Linked DNA regions of Arabidopsis thaliana. The protein of the gene in region 2 interacts with the protein of the main gene of each other region in a pairwise test. Each region holds a gene or a part of one and is shown on either strand. Other genes may lie near its edges. The genes, in order: LCBK1 and HSF1.

Region 1 (7,303 bases), on a different chromosome or scaffold from region 2:
TGGCTCATGCACATGGTTTACTACCGGATCATTAGTGTGATAGTGTCTACTATTTCCAAACGATGGAAATTTTTTATCATTATTAGTTGGAAGAATTGATGCTAAAATATGCATTTACATTTTTTTAATATGTCAAAATCTTCATCTACAAATTTATATGGATGCAATTTAATATGATTTTTTTTCGAATGAAACAAATCAAGAAACGTGTAAATGATAAGCAGACAGAAAAAAAAACATGTGAATGAAATGGATAATAACAAAGGTTTAAACTTTAAGAAGTAAAAAGGAAAGGGAGAAGAAGACCCAGCAATATAAAGAAGTCAGACGTGTGTCCTTTTTCACGGGATGAGGAACGTGCGGCTTCTACTATATTCATCTGTGAGACTCTGATGCTTCAAAGTTCCGAGTCAGACAGAAAGAATCTCTATCAGTTAAATATCTTCGAATAAAATCTTCTTAATCCACAAATAATATCACTTTAGAAGTTCACCTAGTTAACCTAGTCCAAAAACCTCGTTACTTCAAATCATCTATTTCGTTATTGATCGACTAATCCAAACAAAGAAATGGAAACACACAAATCGTTGTAGAAAACACGTACACAGTACATATATAATTCAAAACACACAAAAAAGGGCAAAAGAATATACAAAGGGTTTTAGAGTTATAGGGAAGTTATGGCACAAAAGGATGTACTTGGTATACTCTCTCATGTTTGCTTCTCTTATCACATAGATGGTACTTACCGTAAACTTGACGCCGACAAAAAACAAAAAACAATAAAAATGAATTCCAGATATATAAACATCCAAACTCTCTCACCATCCTCACAATTTAGATGAGATTAATTAACTATGAATGTCGTCCAGGAGCGTTACCGATCAGTCTGCATTGTTCAGGTAGCATTGTCGATATCACTTCTCCATGCAATGCAAACAGTTCCCCGTCTATCCCGCAACTGTCATGCGTATTTTTCCCCGCCTTTATCTTCACTGATTTCACCTGCAATTGTCATGCATTTGATCAACTACATTCTATTCTAGACTTATAATATTTGCATTGAGTTTGACCGTTTGATTAGCATTTCCTAGCACATAGCGAGTTGCAGGTTTCGTAATGTAAGAAAATAGGAAAGATAATTTACCTTTACACACTCAACATACGGAAGAGAAAGGTGTCGACCTGTTTGCAAAAGTATAAAAAACCTCAGTAACCTCAGTCTTCCACACCCATGAACCAAGAGCATATCCATTGTACCATCATCATGTTCTGAATTGGGAGCCACGACTTGGGAACTTTGCACAGTCCGACAAGCATGGTTACAGACCATGATGCCGAGGAAATGTCCCTTTCTCGAAACCCATTTATCCTCAAATATTGGAGTGATGCTCTGTTTCCTCAGTCCTGTCTCTATATCCTCAGGAGGACCAGGCAGCTCGATCGAATTTTCTACATCCCAAGCAGACGGTTCAGTGTCCCATTTGGGTCCTGCATCCCAGATTGGACCTGGATCAGATACAGTAGATGATATATCTTCCCTGTCTTGACCACCGGTATTCCCCCATGAACATCGAGTTGGAGGATCCTGCACGGATGTTAACCCCATCCATCCTTTATCCATTCTTGACTTTGATCTTGTCCTTGGCCAATTAGGGGTTGTTGACTGTGCTTGAGGATGAATAACCTCTGGCTCAGCCGTAACATCTCTTCTTCCAGAGGACAAGCGTTTCATTTTAGGATCTATTCCACGGACATATTCAGACGGCTCAGTGCTGGCATGTGTGCTGCTACAAGTGTCTAATTCGCCTACGCTTGGGGTCATTATGGAGTCAATACTTGATAAACTGGAGGCTCTAGGAAATCCTTCTCTGCTTGATCTCCTCATTACATCCGTGTAGAGATCTTGCATATCCACAGCTTCCTTTTCAAGTCGAATTTTGCCTTCTGCATCCTCTTTTTGTGCCGGAAGATATTCCACTTCATAGCTATACTTCGGCAAACACATGAACTTGAGGAATCCAGCAACAAAGTAACGCAAAGGACCAAACCGTTTTTGGTATTTTTCAGAGAGCTCCAAAACTGCAAATAGATAATGACAAGAAAAACCATGAAATTTAGTTATAGCAGGTGAATGCCACAAACATTATACAGTATTCATGAAGGTAATTATATGTGCAATAATCCTGACGTCAAACACGAGACAGCGTCCAATAGCTCAAACTAATACATCAAACACACACCGGAGCTGTTAAAGAAATGGAGAGAGATTTACAGCCTTTTGCACAAGTTCAATGTATTTGAGTTTATCCATGATACGTTTGAATAACTAGGCGATTTTCTGCTTCTAACTCATCATCAGAAGAGTGCACATTCTGCAATATTCTATGAAATTATGTGTCTTGGGAGTCAGCATAGTGTTCACACTGTGCCAGTTAAAATATTTAGAAGATAAACTGAAAAATTACAGTAAGGAAGATTTAAAAACTCTCCTCTAAAATGCATGAAAGATCTAAACAGTTGCAGACACGGTGAATGAAACAAAGAAGCTAGGAATACAGATTCAAACCTAACTACACTTGAGAAACTGTTTATCATTAGAAAATCATACAAGACAAAGCACACAGGTATCCTCACTTACCATCGCTAACAAAACCATAGTAGGAAACAGTCATTCCAAAGTGTATAATACCGGTATGAATCCATTCAACAGCAAAGACATCAGTAGCTGTTAGGCCACCCTAAACCAAAAAAAAAAAAATCTTTCACTGAGAAAATATTAATTAAGTAGAAGCTAATTAATGTTGGCGGCTGGATAAAACAAAGCAGGGACCAATAGGATTTTAGGCGGGGTTACCTTCACAATAGAGAGTGCTGCAGAAATAGGATCTCTTACACCAAGGACAGTCCAAACTAACGAGTTATCAGAACCAGCAGGTACTATTCCAATTGGGATAGAAACTCCTTCTTTCGGATTGCTTCGAGTAAGCAGACCATTAAGAACCTGAAACATTGAAATAAGGCAGGCCTTGAGATGAGAGTTCATTCCAAGTAAATAGAATCTAGGAGATGTTAACATCGAAAGCAGTCTTTTGAATCCATCTTAGTCTACCTAAAGAGTTCTACATCAATCGAAAAATCAATAGTGAAAGTTCTCATGTGTTTCAACTCGAGCAAGTATTTCCCTATAAGATGCATCCCAAAGTCCTCGCTCTGGAGGATTAGAGTATCTAAACTCTTAAATTATTCAACATGCTTGCAAAGTGGTGTGAGCACGCTGAAATAAGCCAATAAGGTTTCATTTTAATACCAAAATTGGTTCCGAAGTACGTTCAGGCACCAGGGCTTGTAAGCAGATAAGTAACCGGGAGTATGGTATAAAAGGAACATCACTTCATGAACTTAACTCCTAACCAAAATAGGGCGAAAAAATGAGTATAGTTTAGGAAAGGTAATTATCACACCTCATTGATGATTCCATCCCCTCCAACACAAATAATTCCTGGAAGAATTATTAAGAACTCGTAAGTAATAGTAGATATGTAAGATAAAATATATGCATATTAGAAGCTAGATATGTTAAACATATCATTAAGTGTTGGAACAAGTAGAGGTACCGTCAGAGCATAAGTTAATGTCGACAGTGGAAGCCAATTCTCTCGCATGACCTGCTTTAGTTGTTTTGACAACCTCCATCTTAATTCCGGCCAGCTGTGACAGTTCACAAAATCATAAACAAGATTAAAAAAAATGCATAATGGGATTGGAGAAATGGAAATGGTTCTCTAGGGTACCTAAAAGTGGAAATAATGTGATGATGTAGTACTACAACATCCAAAAAGAACAAAAAGATGGGAACGGTACCTTGAAAATTGGTTCCACGACATTATGGAAAACTTTGATAGATCGTCCATGTCCTGACCTAGGGTTCAATATGACAAGCATTTTGGGTGCACTCTTACACCTGAAGACCAACTCAGGAGGGGTATCAATGGGGACCGAAAATAACTCAGACGAAGCCTGTTTCTTTGCGACTAAAGGATGTGGCAAACAGTTGATAAAACATTGTTGATCTCCAAAACTGGCCACCCATTGAACGGCTTCTTCTACTGTAGGTGCGACAAAGCGGAAATCCTTGCGGCTTCTCTTTGGTTTCGTGAAGCAAGACAGGCCACAAGAACCCTTGCCAATTGGATAAGCATGCACAGTGAAATGCCTAAGACCAACATTGTATGTCACCTGGAAAACATAGATAAGTTTGTTGACTCAGTTCTCCAAAACACAGAGTTAATTAGTTCATTGCAAGGCCAACAAAAACCTACCGAGACAACATCGTTAAGCTGTAGCATGTCAGAACCCCAAACCAAAGCGCTGCTTGTAAGCTTTGCATCAACTGCTTTCTTAATAGAGATGTCCGTAGCGGCTGGTTGCTGTATCTCTGTTGCATCTTTTCCACTCGCAGATTTCCTCTTATCCAACACAAGCTTCCCAGCGTAAACAAGACTACCTAACAAATCTGATTTCTCATCCCCTCCACCAATATCGATCCGATGCTCATCAGGCTTCGGTTTCACCTGTGGATCATTAGTAACCTCACCACGTCTCGAAGATGCCTTCACCTTCTTATTTCTCTTTTCAGGGAATACTATAGGAGATGACTGCTGAGATCCACCCGTAGCTATTTGGGAGCAAAAACCTAAACGTCTAAGCGACTGTTGTGCCTGAGGAATGGCTACTTTCAAAGAAGGGTTCCGATTAACACCACTCTTCTGCATATCCGTACACTAACAATCTCTCTGCTCTTGAGTTCCGCGGACGAAACAGACGACAAACAGTGATCGGAAGGCATACACAAAACAAAACCCCTGATGAGCATAAACAGAGAAACCCAATCAAACCTCGTTCGAGCTGGTCAACGAACAGATTTTAGAGAGAATTACACAATTCTAATCCGTAGCTATACATCAGATCCATCAACGCGTTTTCAGGAAGAATTCTCCTGTAACAAAATTCATGTCCATGGATCGATTTATAACCAGCATTTGATGGAAATTCAATCAAAATAAGAACACTATACAACAGATCATGAGGAATCGGAAGCAAATGATAAACGAATCTGAAAACGAAATCGTCGTCAGAGCTTGCTTTTAGCTATTTATTCGTCTTACCTTAGCTTCTCGGCGAACAAAAAGAAGAAATGGAGAGAAGTGTATCAGCAAAAGTAACGCCGCCGGATCGGAGGATCTGAGAAGCGTCAGAATTGAAGAGAGGTGGCGGAGAGAGAGAGAGAGAAGACGATAATGGCGGAGGAGATGATGACTCGACTCAATTTCGATTCGATTTCGATTGGATTCGACTCGACAGCAGAAACCTATGGCCCCCTCCTTTCGGATTTATTTCCACTACAGAACCTTTTTTTGGACTTCTTTTTTCCAAAATTTTAATCTATTTTATTTATGATATTATAGTAGTATTTGTTACTTTAATGGCTATGTTTTAAAATTATTTTGTACTTTATTTTTCGAAATATTTTATTCTTGCAATTGCTTTATTCGCAAGATATTTTTTTTAAAACCCCTCATTTTTAATATAAGTTTTTAGTCCTAACTTTATATTTATATATTTAGTAGGTAAATTTGAATTCTCATAGAATTTTTTTAGTAATTAGATTTGAATTTGTTTCCTTGATTATAAAATGAAACAAAACAATGTTATTAAAATTCAGTAAAAATGTTATTTATATTTCAAAAAACTTAATAAGTAACAAATTTTATTTATCAAAGTATAATATCCATCTAAGATAAATCATATAAACTCTAATTTTGATACATATATATTTTCTGGAAATGTTTTAAAAAATTTCATATATAACAAGGCGATAAATCATAAATCAAAGTTTTCCTAACAATGTCCAAACTATATTGTGTACTTGTTCCTGGTTATATGGTTTTGTGATTGACGATAAAAGTGTGATACAATATCATTGATATGATTTCATGTCTCATCTTCTTCTATTGTTAAATGATTTTTTATATATTTATTTGTTATGAATTGTAGATGACTTGGGAGAGAAGTATATACTATATAAGCTTATTTTCATGATCAGATTAATTAAGCTTTGTAACAAACACTTATGTGTGTAATGAAAGTTTGTTAAGTTTTCGTTATCATCTCTTCTCCGATCATCGGAGTTTAATATGGTATCAGAGCTTTTTCGTTAATTCTTCTTCTATCGTTTTTGTTGGAGACGAGTTCTTTGTTTCATTTGTTATTCCTTTTCCGTTTTGCAATTGGTGATTTGCAATTTTATTTTCTTCTTTTGGTTCATTCTTCTTGTATAGTAAGTTGATCTAGAATGTTATTCGATCAGATCTTAGAGATCCAGCTTCTAGGGAAAAAAAATATGAATGATGTTTTCAAATGGTAGTGGATAGCTTTGGTTATGTTTTAGACATTCTTGTAATCGTGAATTGTTATAATAATGTGAAGTTTTATTGACTTAAAAATGTTACAGTGCATTAATTGCATTCCATTACTCTCGTTAATCGATACAAATTACGTTCATATAATCATTATAAATAGTTTTTTTATTAATTATTTAAACAGTTATTAATTGCATAGGTTAATCCATTTAAACAAATTGGTTGGGTCAACTCATATACTCATTTAGCTATAAACTTATTGGGTAATGAGTTGAGTTGAGTTTTTAACGCTCGTAGTATCATAAACCAAATATATATCTATATTTTAAAAATTTAATTGTTTAAATTTATAATGAGATATTTGATATTATTTTCAATTAGATACAACATCAAACACTATAATTATTTTTTAATCTTTAAATAACAATAAATCATTTTATTTATATTATATATTATATATAGAAAAGAAGGAACATCAAATACGTGGATTTAAATATTTACATAGAAAAACGATGACAATTTTACTTATAATCAAAATTAGAAGAAGTTGTAGATAAATGAAAACATTTTATCAATACGGAGTTGGCCCATTGATAAATCTCACAGGTAGAAGTTCTGGATTATATTTCTATTGGGATGAATTTTTTTTCCAAAAATATGAATTTAACTAGATGTGAATTCTAAATTTAGGGAAAGTAAAGTTTTCATGTTTGAACTTTTAGATATTCAAAAAGAAAAGAAAAAATGAAAACACTTTCAAATACAAAAACATGATGTTGAAATGATATACCATATATTATATGTATCTAAGTGACTGGTGACGTAAACCATAATGCTAAGTGATTTCTGACATATTATAGAAACTACAAAAAAAACATAAA
Region 2 (4,302 bases):
AAAAAGCCACACAAATGAAATCAAATTGCATTCCCCGAAATTTATATGGTTTCTCAACATGTAAAAAAAACAGAACTTACATGATGGTGGTGAATCAGTGGTAACAACAGAAATGGAAGAGACAAGCAGAACAGAAACGATCCGAACTAATGCAACAGAGAGATTCTGTCTGAAATTAACAGAAGATTTCATCATAACCTTCCCAGATAATTTCCTCTGATCATTTCTTTCGATAACACACAGAAATCTATTACAGACGAACACGACTCCTGGGTTTGCTGCATTGCTCCTTGAAATGTTACTACGACTACGAGCATAACTAAATTTGCTAGCTTTTGAAATCTTTGGAGGTTGTTTTACCCACAATTTCACCTGCAAAGGTTGAAAATTCTATTACACAGCTAAACGGACACAAATTGGGGAATTGCAGGAGAGAAACTTAAAAAGGAGTCAACTATACGAAAGAAAAGTACCTGGATTGAGAAATTAGGGTTTATTTTGTTAGGCTTAGTAAAAGAAATTGGGGATAATGAAGAGCTCGCAAGGACCTCCATTGAAAAGAGCTTCCCCGGGAAAATTCCAACTCTGTTTTTCTTATCGAAAAAGGACTACAAATATGATTGGACAAAGTAGTCACTTTCTACAATAAATTAGAAAAAATGGCATTTTCTTTTTAATAATAAATACAACTCTTCTATTATCCAAGGAAAGATTTCTGCACAAAGTTGCAACCGTACTACTGAGTCCTAACGATAATGTTAGTAGAGAAAGACTTTACAATGGATACTAAACATAATCCTTTACTAGTGTTCTGTTTCTGATGTGAGAAGACCCAATTCTTCTATAAGCTTATCCATATGTCTACCATTTGTGTTGTTGTTGTTGTTGTTGTTGTTGTTGTTGTTGTTGTTGTTGTTGTTGTTGTTGTTGTTCTCTAGTGTAGTTGCATCTCCAAAAACTGGGCTTTCTGGCATATATTCTTCAAGGAATTCAAAGTTACTCATTAGTTCATCAATCTCGGGGTCTTCGGGTATTCCCTCAAGCTGAATCGGGACTGAACCACCATCAAGGAATGGGCTTGGAGAGATGAATGCCTCTGGAACATTCTTCTCTGTATCCATGAAGTTTTCTGTAGGGAAGTCGTTGATACTCTCTCGTGTCAATTGTGGTATCTGGGAAGTCTCTGGCATTATGGTATCCGGGAGAGAAGTTGAAGTAGAGGGTAAGTATGATAAAGGCTGTCCTGATGGTACAGATGCATATGCCTGTGACTGTCCTGAAGTTATGGGTAGTACCTCTTGAAGAGTGACTCCTGATACCTGGTTTGGAGATGAGAACCCGTCAAGAAACGGATACTTATCATCTGTTTTCATCATGTTCCACATCATTGAATCGTTTCTAAGTGGCTGATACTTAACTATCTGTCCATCTGATGCTTCCAAGCTATGGCTATGACTATTACTCTCAGTAGCAGCAGTACTATCCTCTCTGAGTCTCCGCTTCTTATTGGCCTCGGTTACATGCATATTACTATCAGTCTGCTTCTGTATAAACTGAGAGAGGAAAGTAGGATTCTGTACAGCTTTAGCAAGGAAAGACATAATCTGTTGTTGCCTCTGCTCCATAACCTGAAGATGTTTAACCAAAACCTGAAGTTTATTATCTGTTGTTTGTTGCTGCTGGCGTAACTTAACGAGTTCCTGCATCAACACGTTTTTGTCTCTTTTAAGCTGTTCAACTTCTTCCTCTAACCCAAATTTCCCAACCTCAACACATGAAGATAATGCAGCCATTGAACCTTGACCCTGAGATAATTGCTGAGATTGTGGATTACTACTACTACTACCATGTCCCTGAACAGATTTTCTCCGGCTTATCTTCTTCAATAGATGTTTTTGACCTCTTAAGAAACCTTCATTAGCAAATTCCCATCGATCTGGATCCACTTTCCTAAAACCCTGTTCATCAAAATTGGCACATGAATCATATAAATCTTATCAAACACATCAAGCACTAAGATTATTCAACGAAATCATAATCTATACACAGTACAATTAGAGAAATCAATGGTGGAGAAATTAGGGCGCGAGAGAATTTATACTTACATAGGTGTTTAACTGGCGAACAAAGCTGGAGAAATTGTTGTGTTTGAAGTATTTAGGTAGAAGATCACGAGAAAACTCCGGTGGATCCCAAACAATGAAGCTATTGTTCGTCGGACTCCATGAGACAATCGCGTCCGTCGCCGGATCTTCCACCATGTCATACGTCTTGCTAAGGAAAGGGGGCGGTAAAGAGTTCGCATTAAGTAAAGTCGCTGGATGCGGATTCCGCGGTGGTGGCGCCGTCACAGCCTCGCCGATATTCGTTCCTCCGCCGGTAACACCGTCCATTTTCGTACGGATAAAGAAAGAGAAGTATTTGAAATTTACAAACATACCCTTTTATTTCTCTGTGACTCAGATATAAACGCGATATCATAAAGATGGGCTTTTATTTTTCTTTTTAGTTTGTGTGTGGGCCAAAAAGATCAACTTTATTAATAACTGGGCCTGCTAAAACAAATATAATAATAATCAATTTAATTGCTATATTGTCGGCATACATTTTCTGGCGGGAAAGCAGAGGAAGGAGAGTGAGAGAGAGAGAGAGAAATGAGTTCGTCCTCGTCGCCGGCGATTGAACCAGACACACCGGACCTGATTTGCCAGCTCGATAATGTTCAAGGAATGGTCGATGCACTCACTTGCGTCCGATGGAAACGCCACCAGGTTTTTATCTCCATCCTCCCCAAATTCAATCTAGGGTTCTTCTTTGATTTTCTGAAAACTTCTCCGTTTCCAGGATGCTTTAGTAGAATTATCTGAACACGGAATAGTTTTGATTGTTGAAGAATCAGGTTGTCTTCAAGCCAAAGTTTATCTTCAACGCGAGGTATCGATTTCTGAGTTTATCTTAAATTTTCTAAACCCCTAAAATTCGATTGAATCCGAAATCTGTTTGATGTGTTATATGAGTAGCTATTCACGAAATACGAGTATGGAGCTCAAGGTAGGCCGAGATTCGGAATCAGCTTAGGGCTTCTTGTTGATTGCTTGAACACATTTTCATCACCTGGACATTCTAATACTATAGAAATCAAGTATCCAGGACCTGATATGGAGCTTCTTCTCAAGTATGTGTACTATGATCCTTTGCTTTGTGAATATACGGATTACGAGTAATTAGCTGATTGGTGTGAGTGTTTGATTAGATCTGTTGATACCTTAAACTCTTGCATCTACTCTGAGATAAGAACTAGAATTCCCGAAACTGTTACTTGGGACTACAACTTTGAGCAGGCGGGAATCGCGCCACTTACTTTTACAGTAAAGGTAGTAACATAGTTTAGTATCGTTTTTCGTTTAACATTGTTAGTCTGAGCTTTTTCTCAAATGGTAATTGATAATGTATCTATCAGTCAGCGGCGTTGAAGGAAGCAATAGATGATCTTGAATGGCCTGGTTCAAGTGTACAGATCAGTCTTCAAAAGGAACCCCCTTGTGTAATCTTTAGAGGAGAAGGACATGGAGACTTGCAGGTCTTGTTTCTCACTTGTTTCTTGGTGATGTATATTATCTTAATGTGAAAGAATCAAGGAACATATTTCGATCTATCCTCTTTGCAGATAGACTTCATGTATTATGCCAACACAGATCTTCTCCTTGCCTTTCATTGTGATACCGAAGTCTCTTACGGGTAACAATGAACTCAATTCTTTCTCTACCGTAGCTTTATGGTTAAAACACACGCTCCTACGCTTGATTTACCAATCAAGAATAGTAGCCAGATACATTTGCTAAACTTCTCATTGTTGATTGTAGGTACAAATACAAGTTTTTGAAAGCAACAACGGCAAACATACCGGGAAACGTAGTGAGAGAAAACAGGGGAAGCAAACTAACAATAGGAAGAGGAGGAATGTTGAAAGTTCAGCACTTGGTTTCAGTTTCTAAAGCTTTAGCTCCACAAGTGGAATCCGCAGGGTATCAGCCACCGAGTCGGATTGCTTATATAGAGTTCTTTGTGAAGCCTGAAGAGCCTGCTGATTAATAGATTTTCTCCTTCAGTTACTTTATCTTTGTAATTCTAGTTCTTCTTTTTAGTCAGTCTCTCAATACTATCAGTATCAGTATCAGAAAGAAAGAAAGAAAAAGTTTAAGGCTTGCAAAGAAAAACTGCGTGTGGTTTCACTAAATTAGCTCAGATGTCTCGTCGTTTAGTGTTATATCGCTGAACGACGTCGTGCAGTGGAGACATAGG

What was found.
Region 1: the proteins of HSF1 (region 2) and LCBK1 interact in a two-hybrid assay, tested with the Arabidopsis thaliana proteins (one study listed by BioGRID).

What each region holds. Positions count from the first base shown.
Region 1 is NC_003076.8:7,904,186-7,911,488, forward strand, and holds LCBK1 (long-chain base (LCB) kinase 1), read right to left. Parts: upstream 5,401-7,303; 5' UTR 5,169-5,400; intron 5,000-5,168; 5' UTR 4,776-4,999; coding exon 4,323-4,775; intron 4,240-4,322; coding exon 3,865-4,239; intron 3,712-3,864; coding exon 3,618-3,711; intron 3,503-3,617; coding exon 3,465-3,502; intron 3,123-3,464; coding exon 3,078-3,122; intron 3,005-3,077; coding exon 2,858-3,004; intron 2,742-2,857; coding exon 2,642-2,741; intron 2,083-2,641; coding exon 1,148-2,082; intron 1,006-1,147; coding exon 856-1,005; 3' UTR 523-855; downstream 1-522. UniProt on the Arabidopsis thaliana protein: Involved in the production of sphingolipid metabolites.
Region 2 is NC_003075.7:9,869,166-9,873,467, forward strand, and holds HSF1 (heat shock factor 1), read right to left. Parts: upstream 2,482-4,302; 5' UTR 2,439-2,481; coding exon 2,106-2,438; intron 1,959-2,105; coding exon 804-1,958; 3' UTR 653-803; downstream 1-652. Other genes in the region: AT4G17740 (Peptidase S41 family protein), read right to left, coding at 81-372, 474-554; AT4G17760 (PCNA domain-containing protein), read left to right, coding at 2,655-2,771, 2,845-2,934, 3,021-3,175, 3,254-3,374, 3,461-3,580, 3,668-3,738, 3,864-4,092. UniProt on the Arabidopsis thaliana protein: Transcriptional activator that specifically binds DNA sequence 5'-AGAAnnTTCT-3' known as heat shock promoter elements (HSE).